3 linked regions of the Notamacropus eugenii genome follow. The protein of the gene in region 2 purifies or fractionates together with the protein of the main gene of each other region. This does not show direct contact. Links are inferred from orthologs where the notes say so. Each region holds a gene or a part of one and is shown on either strand. Other genes may lie near its edges.

Region 1 (6,946 bases), on a different chromosome or scaffold from region 2:
CAGTACAGGATGGAAAAGAATTGGCAGATGTTTCACATGGAAAAAGATGGGGGGGGGGGGGAGCTGAGTGGGCTCCCAGTTCCACAAGCCAGTGATTTGAAGAGGGGCTGCAGGAGAACTTAAGAAGCTAAAAGGAAAAACCTCAAGAAATACAAGAACACTGACCCTTAAGCACATGAGGGGATGCTGTCCTACAGCCAGAGCTGAGACCGGAGGTTCAAGGGGCTCCACAGAAGGGAGGTGGCTTCCTCTCCTGGCCACCCCCCCAACCCAGGACCCTAAGATAGGAAGGGTATCCCCCTCACCCTGCTGCGGCTGGAATAGAGGCTGGTCAAAGCAGAGCCAACAAGAGGAAAGGTAAGGAAATGCCAAAATATCAGCAGTCCCAAGCTGGAAGGGACTCCAAATGTCAAGATGAGGGATGTGACCCTGACTCAGAGAAAAAAACAGGGCCCCTAAAGGGACCATAAACCATCTACTGCTTCAGAGAGGTGGGGCTCCACCAGGGGGCGCTCAAGGGCAGCCAGGGGAAAGGAGGAATCCTGACTGCTAGAGGGAAGAAAAAGGGGAAGGGAGAAAAGAGGAAGATGAAAGTAGAAGGGAAAGGAAAAGAGGAGAAAGGAGGAGGGAGGAAAGAAAAGGAGAAAAGAAAAGATGGGGAGTAGAGAGGAAAAGAAAAGAGAAAGCAAGAGAAGAACAGAGGAGAGGAGGAAGGGAAGAAGGAAGGAGGGGGAGGGGAGGAAGAAGATGGGGGAGGGAAGGGGAGAAGGAGGGAAGGGGAAGGCTCACATTGAAGACCTCCTGCCTCAGCAGGGGCTGCTCCACACACGTCAGCAGCCTCAGCAGCAGGTCCATGATGGCCGATGTCCCGATGTGATGGAGTAACAAGGGAACGAAGTCAGCCTTTTTGCGCAGAAAGGCCACGATCTGAGAGGAGAAGAAACCAGTTGGCTAACCCCTTCCACCATCACAGCATAGGCCTTTTGCAGGGTGGGGCCCCTCCCCCTCCAAGGACTCTTCAATCAAGGCCATCGGCCCCCACCCTGGCAGCTTCTCCTCCAGAGATCCTTCCCACCTCCTCTAAGGCCCCCTAAGGGGCAGGCACTGAATCACTTGGGCACACCCTGGCTGTCTACTTCCTCCATGTCTCCCCAAACCAGAACAAGCAGGCACTTCTTTAATCAAGGTCTGAGTCAGAGGGAGCTCCCCAGGCCCCCAGAGACCTACCTGGTCCGTCTTTCGGTTGATCAAGATCCCCATGACCTTGCTAAAGAAACTGGCCAGCAGGGGGTTCAGGGGGGCTCTGTTCTGTAGGAAAGCATAGAGGCGGCCCAGAAGAGCCTCATCCTCCCCAAGAGCATCGTTGATCTGAGGGACATCCGAGGTCAGGATTTCGCAGGACACACTGGGGTACCTGGAGAAGAGGCAGCTGTCAGGCTCTGCCTAGAGAAAAACAAAAATCTACAGGTACCATCCCGCAACCTGGCCACCTCTCTGGACCTCCACTTCCCAATTTGTAAAACAAAAAAGCACTCCAGCTTAAATTCAATCAAAGGTTCTTATGCTGGGGGGGGGGGGGGGGGCGGTGCCAGAGGGAACAAATCCAGGAGACCAAAACAAGGAGAATAATTAGTGACACCCCCCCTTCCCTCACAGGGGTTCCTTGTACACAGCACTGCATGCTTCAGGATTACACCTGCAGAGAGAGGGCCTGGGGCAGGATGGCCCAGGCCGGGAACAGGATAACCAGCAGGAAAAATAACTGGGTGTGAGATGAGGGAGAGTGATCCAACAGCGTGGCCTGAGCAGCTGACACAAAACCAGCACTCGGACCTGGGCCCTGCCCTTGTCCTTCTACAGGACACAAGAACCAGAGGGAGATGAGGAGAGACGGCCTCACTTGTAGCGAAGCCGCTCGTCACCGGCAGCTGGGGGCTCCCGGGTGACCCAGTCCACGAGGGCCTGCAGATGGGCTGGCCGCAGCAGGAAGTCCAGCAGCTTGGGGTGCAGCACCTTACACTCCTGCAGCACATCCTCCTCATCCAGAAGCTCGGCCAGAGCCAGGTCATCCCTCTGCAGCAGCGAATCGATGTGCGAGCTGGTGTGCAGATCAAACTTCCAAAACATGGCGCCCTGCAGAGGGTGGTCAGAGAAGAGCCTGGAGCAGGTGGGGTGCAGGAGGGGAAGCCCAGGAAAATCCGGCTGCAAGCTGAGAAGGTAGCCCCCACATGGAGCCCAGCTCTCCCCGGGTGTTCTGAACAAGGGGCTCCCTCCGACTTACCCCCTAACACAGGGTCTCCTGGGGAGCAGCCTTCTAAAGGAGGCCAAGAGGGAGCTGGATGGCCACCCTTGAGAGCCATGGGCCCCAGTGGGGGGGGCTCGCAGGGCAAGAGCCACGAGAGCTCCGAGCGGAGGGAGGCCGTGCCAGGGCACAGGCCAGCAGGCCCCCCTGCCCCCAGCTGGGCAGCAGTGCCCGCTGCTCAGGTACTACGAGCAAGGCCCGAGAACGGTCCACGCTCGCAACGAGAAACGCCCTGGGTTCAAATCCCGATCCTGACCGAGCTGTCCGAGCCTCCAATCCTAGACCACCGACCCAACAGGGAGGCTTCGGGCAGGGGAAAGGGCCATCCCCCTGCCCCGAGGCCGGCGTGCTGCGCTGGCCCCAGGGGGGCTCGGCGGTCATCCCCGAGCTCCTCACCCCAGGGTGCCGGCCTGCGCGCTGGATGTGCCCCTCCCAGGAGCCCAGAAATGGAGCGGGGGTCCCCGGCTGTGCAGCCCAGGGACGCGGAGAGGGAAAGCAGGGAAAGGAGGGGCGTTTCCAATGGCAACCGGGGAGGAACAAGCCGAGGAGGCCGTGGGGGGGATTTCCCAGCATCCCCCAGGAGCCCTCCCGTCCAGGGTTCGGCCCGGGCAGGTTCCCCGGAGGGCGGGGCCGCAGTCACCTGGCACCCGGACACCCTGCCCCGCCCCCCAGCAGGGGGACACGCCCGGTCTGCGCCCGGGGGTCTCGAGCCCCGCCCCTTCCCCTCCTCCCCCGGGTTCGTTTCTCCTCCGCTCCCGCCCTCTCCCGGAAGACCCCTGCGGGGCCTCAGTCTCCCCCTCCGCGCAAGGGGCGGGGCAGGGTCACTGACCTGGGCGCGCGAGCAGCGGCAGCTCCGGCCTCGGGCACATCGGGGCGCGCGCCGTGGGGAGGGGGCGGGGCGGGGAAGTGGGCGCGCGCTCCCGGCCCGCGCAGGCGCCCTGAACCTCTGCGCGGTGGGGGGAGGAGGGGCCGCGCGGTAGGGGGGTAGCAAGACCCGCGGCGGTTTCTCCCCCCCCCCGCCCTCCCGCTCCTCTTTCTCCTCCCGCGGGTGCGGGACTTCAGGGCCGGGCCGGGGCTGCGGCTGCTGCTCTGCTCTCGCTCTTGCGTCCGCCTCGGCCGCCCCTGTGTCTGCGTCTGCAGCCTCTGCAGGGAAAGCTCGAGCGCAGAACTGAGAGACGGCAGCAAAATGGCTGGCGCGCAGGCGCGACAGAGAAGCCGCAGAGAGGGCGGGAAGGGGGCGGGAGCTGGTGCGCAGGCGCCCTGAAGCTAGGAGGGGGAGGGGAGCTCACGCAGCCGCTCTAGAAAAGCTCCGCGGGCCCGGGAACAGGCTCACGCGCAGGCGCAGGGGGAGGGGGAGAAATGGCTGCGGAGCTGCCGGAGCCCCGCGACACATAAAAGAGAGCCCAAGGGGGATGCCCCTCCCCTCCCTGGTCCTGCTTCGGCGGCCCTGGAAGGCCGCAGGCAGGCGGGCGGGTCGAATCTTTGTCCTCTTTCTTCGAGGCTTCGTGCCGTCTGTCCACTCACGGTCCCCGCAGCGTCCGTCTGCCCTCCGACCCGCCCGCCTGCCTGCCGCAGCAAGCCAGCCCTCTCCCCTCCACCCCGCAGTCTCCCACAATCCCCCGTGGCGAGGACCGGAGAGCTCAGCGCAATGCAGTGCAAGCCCACCCCTCGCAGCCCATGGCCTCCGTGCGCACGCGCGCCCAGCAGGCAGTCTACCCCCTCTCGGCCTGGCTTCACCAAAACACGCGACTGCGCTTGCGTGCAGGAAAGGCAGCCGCTGCCCCACCGCCTCGGGGGGCTTATAAAGCGGCACTCTCCTGCTGCGCAGGCGCTCTACGCCCCTGTCCTGCTCCCTCACTCCCGCCCCGCACCTCCACCCCCTCGGGAAGTGGTACGCATGCGTACGCGTTCGTCTCTCCGCCCCCGCCGGGGCTGTGTGTCAATTCCCCTCTACACCGCCCCCCCATCCACAATGCTGCCCCCCCCCTCCCCGCCCCCCCGCCCCCGCACACAGACGCGGCACTCGAGGGGGAGGAAGAAACAGCTTTATTGCCAGGGCAGAGCCAGGAGCGGGGCGGGCACGCACGGGAGGGGGCGGAGGGGAGGGAGAGCAGGGGGCTTCGCGGCGCCCCGGGCCCGGCGCCCAGGCTGCCTCCTCCCCGCCTCGGGTGGGCGGCAGGCTGCTGGAGAGGAGCCGCCGGCGGGGCGGGGCTCCATGCTGCGGGGCGCGGGCCCCTGGGTCCCTCCCCAGCCTTCACCGGTCCATGCTGTCATCCGTGGGGGAGGAGAAGCACGCCTGCAGCAGCTTTTCACAGAATTCCAGCTCCTCCTGGAAGGAAGCGGGAGGATCAGGGCTGAGCCCCCCACCCGGGAGCCGCTTCCCTAGGACCCCACCTCAGACCCGGGGGCCAGCCCCGGCCTCTTCCACCTACCCCCCTGCCCCCCATCCTGCTCTCGCCCAGGCTGACCTAGGGACACCCGCAAGACCACAAGGGCTGGTCCCTTCGGGGCCCCTTCGCTACCCCTGACCAGGGCCAGGCTGGGATGGGTAGGGAGAGGCCTCGGGACATTCTAGAACTCCCTCAGTCCAAAGGCTCATGCACATTATTAGCTGCCCCTGATCTGGGCTGTGCCAGGCTCTGGGGTTTTCCCCGGCCTCCCCTCTGCCCTTCCAGGGCCGTGCCTGGCCCCTCTGGTTCCTGGTACTCTCCTAGAGCTTGGGGTCTCTGCTCATCTGTCTCCACATCTCCACTTGAGGACAACTTCCCAACATCACAGAATGGGAGAGCTGGAAGGCTTTGTGAGGTGACAGGAGGACTCCTCATCAGGGCTGGGGGCCCCCCTACGGCTGAATGGCTGGCACTGAGCCCAGGGCTGGTGCAGTGAGGAATGATGCACACATGGGCCTCATGCCCCCAATGAGGAGAGAGCTCTTTTAGGGATAGGCTTCTGCCTCCCTAACCCTGGGCCTAAACCCCTGCCCACAGCCCCCTAGCCTGCTCCTAGGAGCCCAAGGAGAAGCAGCAGTCCCCACCCCTTACCTGGTACTCCTCATGCTGCTGCAGCAGCTGACACCGATGTCGAAGGAGTTCCTCCAGCCCCAATTCAGGCTCCCGGCATTCCCGGATCCCTTGGGGGAAATCTGTCACCAGCCTGTGGAGGGGGATGGCCAGGTCAGCACAGCCCCAGCTGGCCCCAAGATGCCAGCCTCCCACCCTGACCACCCCTAAGATTCCTCTCACCTGCAAAGTGCCCCCAGTACATGCTCGTGGAAGGGGCTGTGCTCTGTTCGGATCAGAGCCACCAGCTGCTGAACCATTCCCATGGAGCACAGGGTGCCTGAGGGTGGAGAGAAGACAGGGTCAAAGAGACATGTCCCCCTGCCTGCCCAGGAGTGTGAGGCAGGTCTTTCTAGAACCTAACCCACTGCTGACTAGCCTTTGAGGCCTACCCTCCCTCCATGATGGGCTCCAAACTGTCAGTCTGCCCCACCTCCCACAGCTTTCCCAGAAACACTAAAATCTGTTCTGCATTTTCCTGCTTTGGCTCCCACTCTCCCACTCTCTGCCTGCTGGTGCCCAGCTCCAAAGGTGCCTTCCCTGTGTCCCCCCATGCCTCCCCCTTTGCCGCCCCCCACCTTTGTGCTCAGGATGGCCCACCAGCAGGTTCTGCAGGAGGAAGGCCGACTTCACCTTCAGCTTCACCACATCCTTCTGCATGGCCCGCATCAGCACCGAAAAGCCATCTAGGCGAAGGAACTGGAGCAGGCCAGCTTCCTGCTCCCGGACCAGGCCTGGGGGCAGCAACAAAGGGTCAGGCCTTTGTTCTTCAGATACCAGGACAGCTCCCAGAGAAGGGGATTGCCATAATAAGCATTAATTATGAGAAGCATAGGGTAACCACCTACTATGTGCCAGGCACTGGGCCCTGCCCTGTAAGTGTTCACAATCTGAGGGCAAACAATCTAAGTAGGAAAAATGTGAAGAGAATGGGCACAGGACTGGGGGAAGCCAGCAAGGTCAGCGGTGGAAGTAGAGAAGGGAGAGGGAAGGCCCACAGCAGAGATAGGACTGGGAGGATGTGTGTGGGAGGAAGATGGAAGACCAGATAGCAGGGAGGGGGCCAAGCCAAGCAGGTCATATTTGGTCCTGCAGGAGGTTAATGAGTAGGGGCTGAGATAACATGGTCAGACCCAAGCTTTAAGAAAATCCTTTATGTGGCTGAATGGAGGATGAATGGGAGTGGGGAGAGACCAGAGACAGGCAGCCCCGCCCAGAGCAACAGCCCAGGGGTGAGGGGCTGCACCAAGGAGTGGTTGTCAGAGGAGAAAACAGGCATGTGGGGGAGATGTGGCAGAGGGGAAATTGACAGGCTTTGCCACCATACTGAATCTGGGAGGAGGGGGAGGGAGTGAGGAGTCCAGGATGACCCCCAGGTTGGGAGGATGGGGGTGCCCTCGATAGTCATAGGAAATGGGGGGAGGGGTTTACAGGGAAAGGTAATAAGTCCTGTTTTGGACATACAAACAGCTGTCACTTTTATGTAAATTCATGTTATCCAAATTTGACTTTATGTGAAGAATTCTGAAAAAAAAAAAATCTACATTCCCAAAAAACCCCTCTGTTTACTTTGCTGTACATGCTG
Region 2 (7,496 bases):
GATCAGGACCACTGGAGATGGCCCCTTTCATGGAAATGACCTGGATGAAGATCGAGGAGACAGAGAAGGAGTGATTAGACAAGTATAAATAGAACTAGGAGAGAGAAAAGTCATGTTGTTGACTAGAGAAAAGTCAACCTAGTGAAAAGAGTATCAAGGAAGGTGACTGACAGTGTCAAAGGTCAAGAAGTAGGAGAATTGAGAGACCATTAGATTTCACAATTAAGAGATCATCAATAACTTTGGAGAAAACTGTTTCCATTGAATGGTGAGGTCAGAAGCCAGACTCTAAAGAACTGAAAAGAGAGTGAAAGGAAAGAAAGTTACAGAGACAGAAGGCAGGTGGAGATGGGGGGAGAAGAAGTAGCTTTTAGTGAATGGACTTCATTTTTTTTTCCAAAATATAAGCAAAGGTTTTCAGTTGAGAGCGTTGGAGAGGAGGAGCTATAGAAGGTTCAAGGAGGGATGAAAAGGTTTGAAAAAACTGCTGTGATTCATGAGATAGTGAATCAATTGGGGATATGTAAAAGGATTGACTTGCTGCATTGAAGGCCCACAGTCCATGCCCTCTTGTCTGGCTAGGTTCCTGCCCCTCCTGATCAGGCATAAAGGGGTTGGGGCACAATCTCTAGTCATGAAACAGAACAAAATTAACTGGGATATGGGATTGAACCCATATCCTCATTTGCGTTGTACTCTGATGTAACTACCACAGATTTCCTTAGATCCTACCTCCCCGTAGATCTGCCAGGTCAATTTAACTTACTATCCTCCCAAAAAATGATATTTGCTAATTATTGCCTCTTGTGCTTTCACTCCTAAACTTCCTGTCCTTTCTCTACTAATTCACTTTTACCACTTCGTCTTGATTCAAAACTCCTCTTCTCCAAGAAGCATTCTCTGATTAATTTTACTCCAATTTGATTTCCTCAGTCTTATATCATCATTCAATGCTTTCTTTTAAGGTTTATGTTATTTTAACTGAATTTTATGTTTCACTTTGAAGGAATTCTCTATTGCTTATGTGTTTATCTCCTCAAAAAGATTATAAATTATAGAACTGATTTCTTTTGCATCTTTCCCCCACAACAAATGAAGTGCTCTGCACACAGGAGAATCTCAAAAACATTTATTAAATCAAAAAATGAAAAACTAAATGAAAACCAAGGCACAGAAAAAGCAAAACACTTGAGATCTATTTCTCTAACTTTGACATAGAACCCAGTCTCTAGAAACAAATCTTTTCTAGCTTCTCTGAGCCTAAAGTTTCAAACTTGAGTGTTCTGACTCCCATATACTAGCCCTCCCTCCCTAGGTTCTTTTTATTGGGCTCAGGAAAAAAAAAAAGCAGTCTTTACTATTTTATGTTCCTTTTTCTTTCACTGGGGAATCTCCTTCCTGTGCTGTTTGATGATAAAAATAACTCCTTCTCTTCATCCAGCTGCCCATGGAACCCAGTAAGTGCCTTCTATTCACCTTCACCCCATCCCAGACCCAAACATGTGACCTGTGTTCATCCTCTGACTAGTGTTCCTCATATTTCCCAGGGGCTATTTTGGGCCATATCTTTGGGCCAGTCCTCTAGTGATATAACTCTCCTCTGGAAATTGTCCTTTCTCCCCTAACCCTACTCCATACACTCCTCTTCTTGTCTCAAACTCTTCATTACATATCACTAGATAAATTGTTAAGAACTGAAAAGTATCTTAGAGATTATCTAGTCAAAATATCTCATGTTGCAAATCAAATATCTCAGAGATTCCAAGTCATGTGCTCAGGATAACATAGCGAGGAATTTATGGAGATGAGATTGTGTCTCTTGAATCCACTAGAGTTCAAGGTACTTTTTACCACACCATGCTGTTTTCCATATCATCATAAGCATGTCATCAGTTTGTTTACACATGTTTATATGGTAGGTGCTATACAAAACAATTTACAGTTCATACAAAACATCCTTGTGGTGCTGAGCATCTTGGATGTCAAACTGAGAAGATTCCTGTTCATAAGATGATTATAACCTAATCAAAGAGTTAGGATGTACACATATCAAAAAGATACACAAATGAATACAATATAAAGGTCCCGTAGTATATATGGCCTTTGTATACCTTGGGGGGGGGGGGAGGGTTAGTGCAACTCCTACCTTCACTGAAGAGTTTGGTCCTCAGAGCACTTGCCAGGTATATATTTCCCTCAGGGTTTTAAAGGTACCTCTGAAGAGGAAGTAGGTATCTTCCTAATAATACTAGGGGCTTGAGCCATGTTCCAGTGTATCCTTGATATCATTTAATAAATTAACAACAATTAACTTTTACAAAGGAATACTTAGTAAGAAGACATAGGAAGAACAGAAATGCAAAACATTTTCCCCAACAACTAGGACCCAGCCCTGTAGTATATTTGTTCTCTCATGGAGTCATTAACTTCTGTGTGGCCCATTCTAATTTTCAGGTACTTTGTGGCTTAGGTAAGTTTTGTATCTCTTGTATCAAGTTGTTAATTCTCTTTCTAAGATGTTCTTCCATAGCTCTCATTTCTTTTCCAATTCTTTCCTCTAACACTTCCATTTATAAAATAATCTTGTGAGTCTTAAAAAGATACACATGAAAAAACAACCCCCTTGCCTCATTTCTTGTAGGAATTCTAGTTGAACTTGTGCCCAAGTTGTGTTTTACTTTAGGTTATACATGTAGATGTTTTGGGGCCATTCTCTTCTCAGTTTGTGTCTTAGGTGCTCCTATCACCATAAAAGCTCTTTGTGGTAAGAATCTATTTTTCTTTGCTCATTCTTCCTGAAATCTAGCCTTAATTCTGAATTTTAGACTGTGTTAAGGCCTTCATACAGGGCAAAGCCTAATTGGTTTCTTTGTTCTCTGAGTTGTGCAACCTCCTAATCTGAATTAGGGTCAGAGCAACACAACTGTGTACTTGGCCCTGGTTGGAGCTCCTGTAGAAAGCTGCAGAACTCAACTACTATAGGCAATCAAAAAAAAAAAATGCATATTCAGAGTGATAGAATTGCAGGCTCTCCTTTATCTTCAGACTGGTCTGGAGGTAGAATCTGAGATCCTATTGTACTGCCAGGGTCAGAACCACATAGCTGCTGTTTGCTTCTGTTCCTGCTCCTTCTCTACTACAGGACCTCAGCTCGCAACTGCTGGTCCTGGACCTGAGACTTAGGTGCACTGGATCTATGACCCAGCTCTGGAATATGAGGGACAGACCTTCCAGTTGGCATGTGTCCTTGCTCTTTGGACAGTATCAGACCTCTCTGCGATAGATCCAGGAGGTCTTCTCGCCCTAGTGGACAGTCACTAGCCCTTATTCAATCCCTGCATTCAGCTCTGCACTATGACCCTATTCCCAGTTTCAAAAGGTATTTCTGTTCTCCTTTACCAACCTTGGCTGGAAAAATTACTCAGTGATTTTTTTTCTTGAATTTCCCCATCAGGATTCAGTCTGGTACCTTTCCTATATGTTGGTGGAATTGTGTTTGTCCTTTGCTCTTAAAAAGGACCATGACATCAGGAAGATGATGACATGACTTTCAGTTGACTTTAATGGGAGGGAGGGAGGGCTGTGCGAGGTCACCAGCCTCACCTTCTTCTCCTGATCCATCTGGGTCCGGTGGCCTGACATTCATCAGGACGGCTGGAGATGGCCCAGGGGGCGGTGGAGACCCTGGAGACCCTGGCCCTTGTAGGCGAAGGCCTTGGAGAGGATGGCTGCTTTCTTGTACTCTGCCCTCTCGGCCAGCCCCTACACAGCTCAGCTGCGGAGTCCTGCGGGCGAGGACGTGTCTTGGTCCATCGGCTGTAACCCATTTCAGAAGTAAATGCAATGGGGCGGAGTTCTGTCCTCTGCGCAGAGACCCAGGCAGTAAGCAGAACACGTGTGGCCCAGCGGCTGGGGGTGTTTGTACTTCTCCGAAGGGGGCGCGTCCTGACTCTGGCCAGACTACACTCTCGTAAAGCGCTCTTCTCAGCTTGCCTCCTGGGGGACGCGGTTCGGTGGAAAAGCATTAACGCGGGGCCGGAGGCTGGAGCTGGAAGGCCAGCTCTGTTCCCAGCAGTGTGAGCGTGGGCCTCGGTTCTCCCTTCTGCAGAATGGGCTGGAGGGCTGCAAGGGAGATCCAGGCTCAAACTGACCTCAGGCCCTCTGTGACATGAAGAGACTGGACCACACGGCTTCTGGGTTCCCTTCCAGTTCGGGAATTATGCTGCGCCACGTGACTACTACACTTGTGCAGGGTTAAACCCTAGAAGGCTGAATTTCCAGAGCTCCCCACACTTCTCCATCCCTTTTCAGATCTGGGGAGCGCTGCGGGTCAGGCTTTGGCCAGCAGGGGGAGCTGCGCGCTTGGGTTTGACAGTCGGAGCTGGAGCTAGATCCGGCCACCGGGGGGTGCTGCAGGGTAGGTTGCGGCGCGCTGTGGAGCCAGACTTGGCCGCCAGGGGGCGGAGCGCCGCCAGGTCGGATCGCCACCGGTGCTACGGGACGGCGGTGGGGCCGGCAGGCCCTGGCGGGAGGTCCGGGGGGCCGGAGCTGCGGGGCCCGGTGTGGCCGCCAGGGGGTGCTGCCGGCTCCCGCTCGCCCGCCTCCCGGTAGGCGGGGCCCCGCTCTCCCAGCAGCCGCTACCGTCGCTGCTGCTGCCGCCGCCGCCGCCGCTGCCCCGTGTCCCCGGTGGAGCCACCGCCGCTGCCGCCGGGAGCTCGATGCGGACGGAGCCTGGGCCGGGCCATGGGGATCCTCAGCATCACGGACCAGGTTAGTGACGGCGCCGCCCGCCGCCCGCCGGGCGCTGCCGCCACGCGAGCTCGGGGATGTGCGGCCTAGGCCTAGCCCGCGCCCCGGCCTCCCGCGGCCCCGGGCCCCCGCGCCCCGGCCCCCCGGCCCCCCGGGCCGGTTCCGGTCCGCCCCGCCCCGCGCCGCCCCGCATCGCGCACACCCAGCCCGCCCGCAGGGCCGGCCGGCCCCGCCTCCGCGCCCGCCGCCCTTGCGGCGGTGACAGGGCACCCGGCGGGCCCCTCGCGGCGCTTCCCGGCCCGCCCCTGAGCCGCCCGCCCGCCGCTCTCTCCCCGCAGCCGCCCCTGGTCCAGGCCATCTTTAGCCGGGATGTGGAGGAAGTGCGCTCCCTCCTCTCGCAGAAGGAGAACATCAACGTGCTGGTGAGCGGGGGGCCGCCGGGCCCCCACCCCGCCCCCGCCCCGGGGGGAGGCGCCCAGCAGGGAGAAGGGGGGGCCGGAGCGGGGGTCCGACCTTCCCCCTGTGCCCGCCTGCGGGATGGAGGGCTGGGCACCGGGGTGTCAGGTCGGCGCGACCCAGCGCGGCCCTTCCCTTCAATAGGACCAAGAGAGAAGAACCCCTCTGCATGCTGCTGCCTATGTAGGAGATGTCCCCATCCTCCAACTGCTACTGCTGTCAGGTAAGAGAGGAGGCCAGGGCGCGGCGAGGTGGGGCTCTCTGATGCCTCCTCCTGGTCCCCAAGCCCAGCCTCCCCACATGCCTTCTTTACTTGTCCCCAGGTGCTAATGTCAATGCTAAGGACACACTGTGGCTGACCCCCCTACATCGCGCTGCTGCCTCTAGGAATGAGGTAGGCTCAGCTGGGCCCTTCTGCCTTCTAATGAGGTGGATGGTGAAGTCTTATTCCTCTGTCATCCTCCTCTAGAGTCTCATCTCCTGTACCATCTGGAGAGGAAAGTCAGATCTTGGCTCCTCCCTCCTGACCTCTGGGCAGGCTGTTTATGGGGGGCTGAGCTCTGCCAGCTGATTTGACGTCAGGGGCAGCTTAGCACTCTGCTGGCAGGCTGCAGGGGGCTCCAATGCCAGGCCTAAATGACTCATCTCTCCCTGAGGGGCCACCTTAGAGCCTGCTCCCCTTTTGAGCCCTGGGAAGAGCAGGAGAGGGCCCCTCCCAGGGCTACCCTGGTACTCTCCTGGCTTGAGCCATCATCCTAGAGGTCACAGCACAGTGCTCAGAAGGAGTTACTGAGGCTGATATATTAAGGGGTAGGGGGCTGGCTAGGTTTTGACCAGGGAATGGGGATGGAGGTCATCTGTTTTCTTAGCTTGTTATTGAGATTGATTTCCGTGGTTGTGGAAGGGTTGAAGGTGGGTGTGTACATGAAGGTGGGAGGCTTTATTTTTCCTGGAATTCCCATGGGGGTAGGGAGGATCAAGGAGTCTTTAGGATGTTTACTTTTGCTTGGGGAAAGGATGTAAGGGGTACTAAGATTACTAAGACTGGGAGAATGAAGTTAATTTGGCTTGAGGACGGGTCTGTGTTTACCCTGGAAAGATAGAGGTTCTATTCAGATGACTGTCAGTTGGTGTTAAGGTGGTTTGTATGTTTTCTTAGGGAAACCGGGAGTAAGATTGTGGGGAAGAAGGGATTCTGTATTTACTGGATGTTGAGGCTGTTCTCATTTCTAGAGTTAAGGCACCCATGCCAAATCATCCCCTCACCTCCTGTTCTTTGTTCTTCTTGTCCTGATAAATTGCCACTAACAGAAAGTACTGGGGCTGCTCCTAGCACATTCCGCAGATGTGAATGCCCGGGACAAGCTATGGCAGACACCACTGCATGTGGCTGCTGCCAACCGGGCCACCAAATGTGCTGAAGCCCTGGCCCCGCTGCTGAGCAGCCTTAATGTGGCCGATCGAAGCGGGCGCAGTGCCTTGCACCATGCCGTGCACAGTGGGCACCTGGAGGTATGGATTCCACTCCCTCACTGCCTGCTTATAACTTGTCTGGGGCATCCAGACACTGTGGTTATGGGGCTTGGTTTTCCATGCCCATCCCCTGGTCCTTTCCCTTTCCTAGTCTCTGCTTTCTCATTAGTCCCTGTCCATGGTCCTTTCAGCAATATATCAGTTTTCTCCTCAGTTTCCTGAGAAAGTGGAGAAGCTTTAGTATAAGATGGCTGGGGATAGGGAAGGGTGGAAAGGGACTTATGCCAGGCTCTAAATGGAAATGTCCCCTGTTCTCACACAGATGGTGAACCTGCTTCTGAACAAGGGGGCCAGCCTTAACGTCTGTGACAAAAAGGAGCGGCAGCCACTACACTGGGCAGCCTTTTTAGGTGAGGAAGAATCTTGGAGCAAAGAAAATGTTTGGCCTACATAGGCATAATTTAGAGTTTGAGAATTCTGGGGTAAAGGACCTGAAGTAGAGTTTATTCTCCATTCCCTTTAGCTTTGCCTTATCTCATTCCCCTCCCCTGCTTTAGGGCATTTGGAGGTCCTGAAGCTGTTGGTGGCCCGGGGTGCAGATCCTAGTTGCAAGGACCGGAAGGGCTATGGACTGCTCCACACAGCTGCTGCCAATGGCCAGATTGATGTGGTCAAGCACCTGCTACGGCTAGGGGCTGAGGTCAGGGGGTTGGGAGACTAAGGTTAGGGATTTAAGAACTGTAGAAGAGGTTATGTGGGAAGATAAGGTCAGCATAAGGAAGCTTAGGTTTGGTGGATCTATGGGCACTGGGGAGGTT
Region 3 (7,437 bases), on a different chromosome or scaffold from region 2:
ACAGTTTAGAATCTAAGAGAAGGATAGAACATGATAACAGATACAATGATAAATAATAATTCTTTATCAATTTAAAGTTTGTGAAGCACTTTACAATTGTTATCTCATTTTACTTTTACAACAACCCTTGGTTGGTGCTATTATTATCCTTATTTTATAGATGATGAATCTGAGACAGAAAATGACTTGCCTGGGTTCACAAAGTAAGTGTCTGGGGCTAGATTTGCACACAAAGTGTGCAACTACACTAACTACAGGTCAAATACTCTAACCACTGCACCGCCTAGCTGTCTCTATTACATATATACAACTACAACTATAATACAAAACAACCAATAATTAACCTAAGTGCATAAGGGAGGGGAAGAAAGGAGGGAACATTTATTAAGCTCCTACCATGTATCAGGCACTATACTAAGTGCTTTATAATTTCTCATTTGATCCCCATTACCCTGTAAGGTAGGTTCTATTATCATCCCATTGTACAGATGAGGGAATTCAGGCAGGCAGAGGTTAAGTGATTTGTCAAGGTCACAAAACTATTAAGGACCTCTGAAGCTGATCTGAATTCAGATCTTTGAACTCCAAGCCCAGAGAGTAAGGAAGTATAAACAAGGTCTCATAGCTGATATACAGCAGAAGTTAGACTCAGATCCAAGTCCTCTAACTTTAAATCAATGCTTTTTCCACTGTACTGGGGAAAAAATAAGAAATCAATTTGGGGTTTATTGAGTTTGAAGTGCCAGTGAAAGGTCCTGTATAGACTCATGTAGAAGGACTCATGTATATCCAGAACTCAGGAGAAGCCAGGAGTGGAACAAGATTTGGGTGTCATCTGTATTACAGTAATGGGTGAAGGTGTGGAAATGAGATTGCCAAGAGACAAGAATCAAGGATAAAATCTTAAGACACTGAGATGAAGAAACAGAGAAATTAGAAAAGTAATAACACTAGAAATGGAAGTCAGAAGGCCTCAGTTGCCATCACAACTCTATCACTAGTTACATGTCTACAGACAAATCACTTCACTTTTCTGGTGCACACTAGGATAGTATTTATATAATCGGCTTCATAAGAGTGTTATGAGGAAAATGTTTCATAAGTTGCAAAGTACTACCTATGCAAATGTGCACAACTGTGATTACTGAAACAATCTTTTGACTTCTCATTTGTTTCTAGACATCTTGTTTAAAAATAAGTTGCCCATAAATTTCTTCCAAACAAAATATAATAGCTTATACTAATTGTTGCACTTAAGTGTAAATTTCACGAACTGAGCAGACTTACAAAGCAAAAGAAGCAAGACTCCTCTTTCTTATAAGAACAGAATTTATACATTTTACCTTGATAAATTCCTTTAATCTCTCAAAAAGGGAAAGAAATCTGTCTACAGGTTAACCAGTTAGCAAACAGCTGATCAAAGTTTACTAAGTAAACCAATACTCTGGCACTAGTCCCCACCTGTAAGCACAAAAACTAAGCACTACACATAGAAACCACTTAGAAAAAAACCTCCAATATTCCAGAGATTTAAATTCCTTCATTCTCAAATTACTAAAACATGGCAGTATATCAGGAACAACTTGGGGGAGGGGAGAAGATTAAACTTTAAAAACAGCTAAAAGAGGCACCAGTCAATCAATAAACATCTAATAAGCACCTACTATGTACCAGGAACTATACTAGGAACTCAGACACTGGAGATACAAATATAAAAAATGAAACAATCTGTACCGTCAAGGATCTTACATTCTAACAAAAGAGCTTATTTTACCACACCTTTACACAAGTATAACAAGCAAGTAAGTTTGTCCTGTTATGTCTTATAGGCAACGTCAATTTGAGGCATGGGAGAGAAATAAGGAAATATGGTTTATTTCACTTTCCTGAATTAAATTACAATGTCTATCTGCTATCATATTTTAACAATAACCTAAATATTGTACACTCAAACTCTGCAACAAAGTAGAAAACTTTTTTTCCCTGCAAGTATCGTTAAGTCTAAAATGGGGCTATCATTAGCCACTCAATCAAAACAAAGCAAGTTGCTACAATCTGAAGCAGAGAGATAAACGCTTGATCTTAACAGTCCCGAATCTTCAAGGATCAGAAAATGGCTATTCCCCCTTTAAGGAGAGAGCAACAACAGTAGAATCACAAAAACTCTTGGTCAGAAAGGACCTCAAAAATCACCTAGTTATACTGTAACTAAACATAAATTCCCTCTAAATCCTCCTGAATAAATGAGCTTTATTACCGTTTGCTTGACAAAATCCAGCACCTGGACACTCGCAACTTATTCAGGGAGCAGACTCCATTATAAACCTGTTCTATTTTTTTAGGGAAGAGGGAACAGGGGTTGAACCTTTGACTTGGTGTACAGAAATCCCAGAAGAGGAAACTCCCTCTACCAATTTAAGTTGGCACCTTCTCTGCAATTCACTGTCTTAAACAGCCGCCTGAGCCCTAAGATGTTAAGTGACTTACCCAAGGCCACAAGCACTGTGCATGTCAAAGACTCTTTTAAGACTTAAACCCCCGATCTTCTCGGCCCGAACCCCCACGTCTCTGCCCCCTTTTCTAATTTTCAGGAAATCTGAAAAATACGCCACTTTGAAAACCTGTACCCACTTGTTCCTACTTCTGGTCCGTGGAGTCAGGTAGAACAAGTCTAATCCCTCTTCTCCAGGGGACAGGGGACGGAACCTTCAGTACAAACAGCTATCAAAACCCCAGTCTCTAAAAACTAGAAGATCTTCAGAAGTTATCTGAACCCACTCATACCTGAGCAGCAATACCTTCTACAGCTTCCCCAAGAAGTTGGGCCAACAAGTCTCTATTGGAAGACCTCCAGAGAAGGGGAGGTCTGAGGTGGCCCATTCCACTTTTGGTCAGCTGTGGTCTGGCAGGAAGTTTTTCCTTACATCGAGGCGCAATCGCTGCAACTTCCATCTACTGCTCCTAAGTCTGCTCTCGGGGGCCAAGCGGAGCAAGCTCGATACCTCTCGCACATGACAACCCTTCAAACACTTCAACTGTAACTTTCCCCTTAAATGACAGAATCAGAGCATCTCAGAACTGGAAGGGGCTCCAAGAATCACCCCGCAGAACCCCTTCTGGAGCAGGCACGTCCCCTGCCACATCGCCGATGGGGGACCACACCGAGAGAGGCACCCCCAGGTCTCAGCTGGGAACCGCCAGGCGAGCGAGCTTCAAGATCCGACCTCAGGCCACTGCCTACGCCCCCTTGCCCCCGTCCCCACCCTCACCCCGTGCCAAGCTCTGCCGCTGACTTCGGGTGTGCCCACCCCTCTCTGCACCTCCGTTTCCCCATCTGTTAAAATAACGGAGAAGCTGGACCAGACGATGTCTCAGGGCCCCTCTAGCTCTGACTTTCTGTGGCTACTCCCCCCTTCTCTGCAGCTCGGCTCCAGAGCCTGGTGGGGAAGGGGTGGAGGGAAGGGAAGAGGCACAGAAGCCGCCGGGAGGCAGGGAGGTGGCGCTGCCGGCGCCCCCGCTCCCCGGGGCTCCCGGAGCTGACAGGGGCGGGGGCCGGGACGGAAAGAAGGAGGGAAGAAGGGCGGGAGGACTCTCAGCTGCACCACTCCCGGAAGGCGGGGGACTCCGGAGTCAGCGCCCCGCGGCCCCACCGGCACGGCCCAGAAGCCCGGCCCTTACCTTCAGGTCGTTCTCCGGCAGATACTTGCAGAGCCGCGCGATCTCCACATACTTGTCCAAGTCCAGGGGCGCCATTTTAGGAATAACAACCCGCAGTGGCGGCGGCGGCGGAGAAGGCCGAAGCCGGAACTCTGTTCAACGTCACTTCCTGTAGACGCGCAGCGTCTCTGCGTCAAGGCGTGAAAGTTTGCCCTTCCGCTTCTTCTTTCTGCCAGCCCCTACAGCCCTACTTCTGAATGGCTCAAGACGGAGAGTCGCGGGAGTTACACGACAGAGACCTGTGCGTCTCTGGAAACATACCAGGACTCGCTAAGCCGCCTGGGATTTGTAGTTTCCCACATCTAGCAGCGCTTCTTATACCTCTGGTTTATGCACATAAACGCGCTGAGAGAATTGCACATACACCTACATGCAGCAGGCAAAGGCCGCCTTGTCTCGTGCAGGGGATCGATGCTGAATTGTGACGTGGGAGAACCTTCTCTGGACAGCCAAGCCATGGAGCCCTCCCCCTTGCCCCTCCCCGCCCTGCGTGATTCTCTGTCCCTCGCCCCCCTTTTCCTCGAGCCCCCCAACTCACAGCCGAGTTCATACCCTGGCCCCTTCCTACTTTTCCAGGCTTCCTCCGCGTTATTTTCCACGATCCAGTTACCACGGCTTCCTTTCTGTTCCTCCCACCAGACACTCCATCTCCCGATTCAGAACATTTTCGGTAGCGGTTCTCCTGGTCGGGAATGCTCCCCCTCCTCACCTCCACCTCCTGCTTTCCCTGGCTTCCTTCAAGTCTCAGCACAGATTCCACCTTCTGCAAGAAGCCTTTCCTGCTCCCCTTTATTGCTAGTGCTTTCGCTTAGAGATGACATGCAGTTTATCCTGTCTGTATCTTGTCTGTACGCAGTTGTTTGCAGGTTGTCTCCCCGCTAGACTGAGCTTCTAGAGAGCAGGGGTTATTTTTTGTCTTTCTTTGTATCTCCAGCGCTTAGCAAATGCCTGGCACATAGTAGGAACTTGTGGGCTGACCGGCTGATCTCCAGGTCCTGGGGAGGGGAATCCTGTCCGCGTCATAGGCCTGGGGGTGCACATAGGCGCGCCGGGTGTCCTTCCCGGCTGCACTAAGCAAGACGACAGCCAAGATACGGGAGGAGACGGACTGACTGAGGACCGGGATCCCAATCCAGGCAAACCAGTAAGTGGTTTCACAGAAAGAGTCCTAGGAGACATGAGACCTGGATCTCAGCCCCGTCTCTGGCCCCGTGCTCTTTATGGGACCGTGGACAAATCACTTCTCTCTGGGCCTCCGTTGTTCTCATCTTTAAAATGAGGGGTTTACCCCATATTATCTTCAAGTGCCCTCCCAGTTCCGACATTCTACCCATTCTGCCCAGCCTGCCAGTTAACGTCCCTTCTCTGCGTCTCAGTTTTTGCCTCTTTAAAATGAGTCAATTGTACTAGATGCTCCCTAAAATCTCCTTAATCTCTAAGTACGCAGACCGAGTACTCTGGATTCTCTGTGTATGGCTAACCCTCACCGGAAGGATCTGGACTACTCTTGGACAGAAGAGATGGTTCTAGGATTCTGTGATTTTTTTTTAAGAGAAATATAATAATAGTTGACATTTCTATGCCAATTGACAATTATATTTAAGGCTTTTAAAGCTTTGCATTTATTATCTCATTTGCTCTTTAAAACAGTCCTGTGAAATAGGGATTAACACTATTATTAAAATTTGTGGATCATCTAAAAATTGCATAATGTTTACCACCCCTTGAATCCTTTTTTGCTACTTTGCCAAAATCACTTTTGAAGTGGATAGGGACCACAAAGGACTGTGGCCTTTAGGATCTTTTGATCAGTCATTAGATTTTCCCACTATTTACTGACTCTTCATGACCCCACTTGAGGTTTGCTTGGCAAAGATACTGGAGTGGTTTGCCATTTTCTTCTCTTACAGATGAGGAAACTGAGTCAAACAGGGTTAAGTGACTTATCCAGTGTGGCACAGCTTAGTAAGTGTCTGAAGCCAGATTTGAACTCAGGAAGATGAGTCTTCCTAACTCCAGGCCCAGCATTCTATCCACTGTACCACCTAACTGCCACCACCTAGGGGCAGCTAGGTGGTGCAGTGGATAGAGCACCAGTGCAGGAGTCAGGAGGACCTAAGTCAAATCTCACCTCAGACACTTGACACTCACTAACTGTGTGACTTGGGCAAGTCATTTAACCCCAGTTGTCTCATCCTGGGTCATCTCCAGTCATCCTGATGAATATGCAGTCACTGGATTCAGATGGCTCTGGAGGAGAAGTGAAGCTGGTGACCTGCACAGCCTTCCCTCACTCAAAAACAAAGTCAAGTGCAAGTCATGTCATGGAACACACACATTAGATTTGGAATCAGAAGATCTGAATTCATATCCTGTTACCTCCTACATTTGTAACCTTGAGCAAATCTCCTTCATTCTGGGCCTCACCTTTAAAATGAAAGCCTCAGACTTCCAGCTTTAAATGCTCTGATTACTAAAGATAAAGGTGTCTGTAACAGACTCTGAACTTCTCAGGGGAAAAAATGATTCTAGTTTTGTGATCTTAGGTAGCATGGTGCTGGCCTGGGCTACACAGGTTCAAAGTCTAGCCCTAGCAATGACTCATTTGATCACTGGCGAGATGCTCAACCTCTCTCTCTCTTACCTTCTCCCCCTTCATCATCCTCTTCCTCCCTCCCTCCTTCTCTCTCTCCCTCCTCACTCCCCTCTCCCCTTTTCCCCCCCTCTCTCCCTCCTTCCCTCCTTCTCTCTCTCTCTCTCTCTCTCTCTCTCTTTCTCTCTCAGCATCAGCTTCTTCAACTTAATGTGAAGATAATACATACTTCTTCATAGAGTTGTTTCAAAGAAAGAGCTTTCTTTGTAAATATTCCTCGTGAATAGAGATCATTTCATTTATTATATTTGCGTTCCCAGCACCTAGCACAGTACCTGGTACATAGTAGGCACTAAATAAGTACTTGTTTATTGATTGATTGATTCAATCTTAAAGTACTATAAAAATGGAAATTTCATTATTATGAAGTCTTTTAACTTTTCTGACATTCAAGGAAACTATGTAACAATATTCCCAAAAAGCCCACTAAATATAAGGCCTGTATTTGGAGCTAGAGAAGAGTCAAAGTTTAGATGATTATAGAATTCAAAAATCAGAAGGCACCACAGAAGCCATTCACCCATATCTAAAGAGATATATCAATAAATCAATCAACAAATATTTATTAAATACCTACTGAATTCTAAACACAGTTCCAGATACAATGTTGAGTACTGGGGTTGCAAGAACAAAAAAGAAACAATCTCTCACTTTAAAGTGCTTGCATTCCATTAGGGAAGACAATATGCATACATATGTATATGTGTGTGTATGCATGTGTGTATATATATGTATACATACATATATATACACACAGACAGAAGAGTGTGTGTGTGTGTGTGTGTGTGTGTGTGTGTGTGTGTGTAACCCTGGATCAAAGGACCAATTAATTGTGTGAGATTCTCTCCTCGTTGATGGAATCCAATGCCCATCCCTGCGTGGAGAATAGAAATTGGTAAGTGATCCAGGCTGTCCACTTTCTTTTGGTTCTTGAATCTCTTCAGCTCCTTCTGGCTTCCAGCATCTAGACAGAAGATGCATGGGATTCCAAACTTTCTTCATGACCATGAAGAGGAAAAACCTCTGGGGAGAAGCCAACATGAGAGGAGCTGGCAATCTCCATCATG

Evidence for each region.
Region 1: the proteins of ANKRD52 (region 2) and PPP6R1 purify together in Homo sapiens (co-immunoprecipitation; 3 studies listed by BioGRID and IntAct, with this or other methods). This does not show direct contact. The link is inferred for Notamacropus eugenii from reciprocal best matches to the Homo sapiens genes ANKRD52 and PPP6R1.
Region 3: the proteins of ANKRD52 (region 2) and PPP6C purify together in Homo sapiens (affinity purification with mass spectrometry; 6 studies listed by BioGRID and IntAct, with this or other methods). This does not show direct contact. The link is inferred for Notamacropus eugenii from reciprocal best matches to the Homo sapiens genes ANKRD52 and PPP6C.

The regions. Positions count from the first base shown.
Region 1 is NC_092876.1:17,896,439-17,903,384, forward strand, and holds the start of PPP6R1 (serine/threonine-protein phosphatase 6 regulatory subunit 1), read right to left. Parts: upstream 3,018-6,946; 5' UTR 2,876-3,017; coding exon 2,699-2,875; intron 2,679-2,698; exon of another isoform or gene 2,282-2,678; intron 2,268-2,281; exon of another isoform or gene 2,134-2,267; coding exon 1,901-2,133; intron 1,415-1,900; coding exon 1,228-1,414; intron 928-1,227; coding exon 790-927; intron 1-789. Other genes in the region: HSPBP1 (hsp70-binding protein 1), read right to left, coding at 4,557-4,631, 5,344-5,455, 5,545-5,641, 5,940-6,095. UniProt on the Homo sapiens protein: Regulatory subunit of protein phosphatase 6 (PP6). May function as a scaffolding PP6 subunit. Involved in the PP6-mediated dephosphorylation of NFKBIE opposing its degradation in response to TNF-alpha.
Region 2 is NC_092874.1:231,520,045-231,527,540, reverse strand, and holds the start of ANKRD52 (serine/threonine-protein phosphatase 6 regulatory ankyrin repeat subunit C), read left to right. Parts: upstream 1-4,494; 5' UTR 4,495-4,743; coding exon 4,744-4,770; intron 4,771-5,087; coding exon 5,088-5,171; intron 5,172-5,349; coding exon 5,350-5,428; intron 5,429-5,528; coding exon 5,529-5,599; intron 5,600-6,516; coding exon 6,517-6,717; intron 6,718-7,000; coding exon 7,001-7,088; intron 7,089-7,235; coding exon 7,236-7,378; intron 7,379-7,496. UniProt on the Homo sapiens protein: Putative regulatory subunit of protein phosphatase 6 (PP6) that may be involved in the recognition of phosphoprotein substrates.
Region 3 is NC_092872.1:447,465,653-447,473,089, forward strand, and holds the start of PPP6C (serine/threonine-protein phosphatase 6 catalytic subunit), read right to left. Parts: upstream 3,018-7,437; 5' UTR 2,953-3,017; coding exon 2,785-2,952; intron 1-2,784.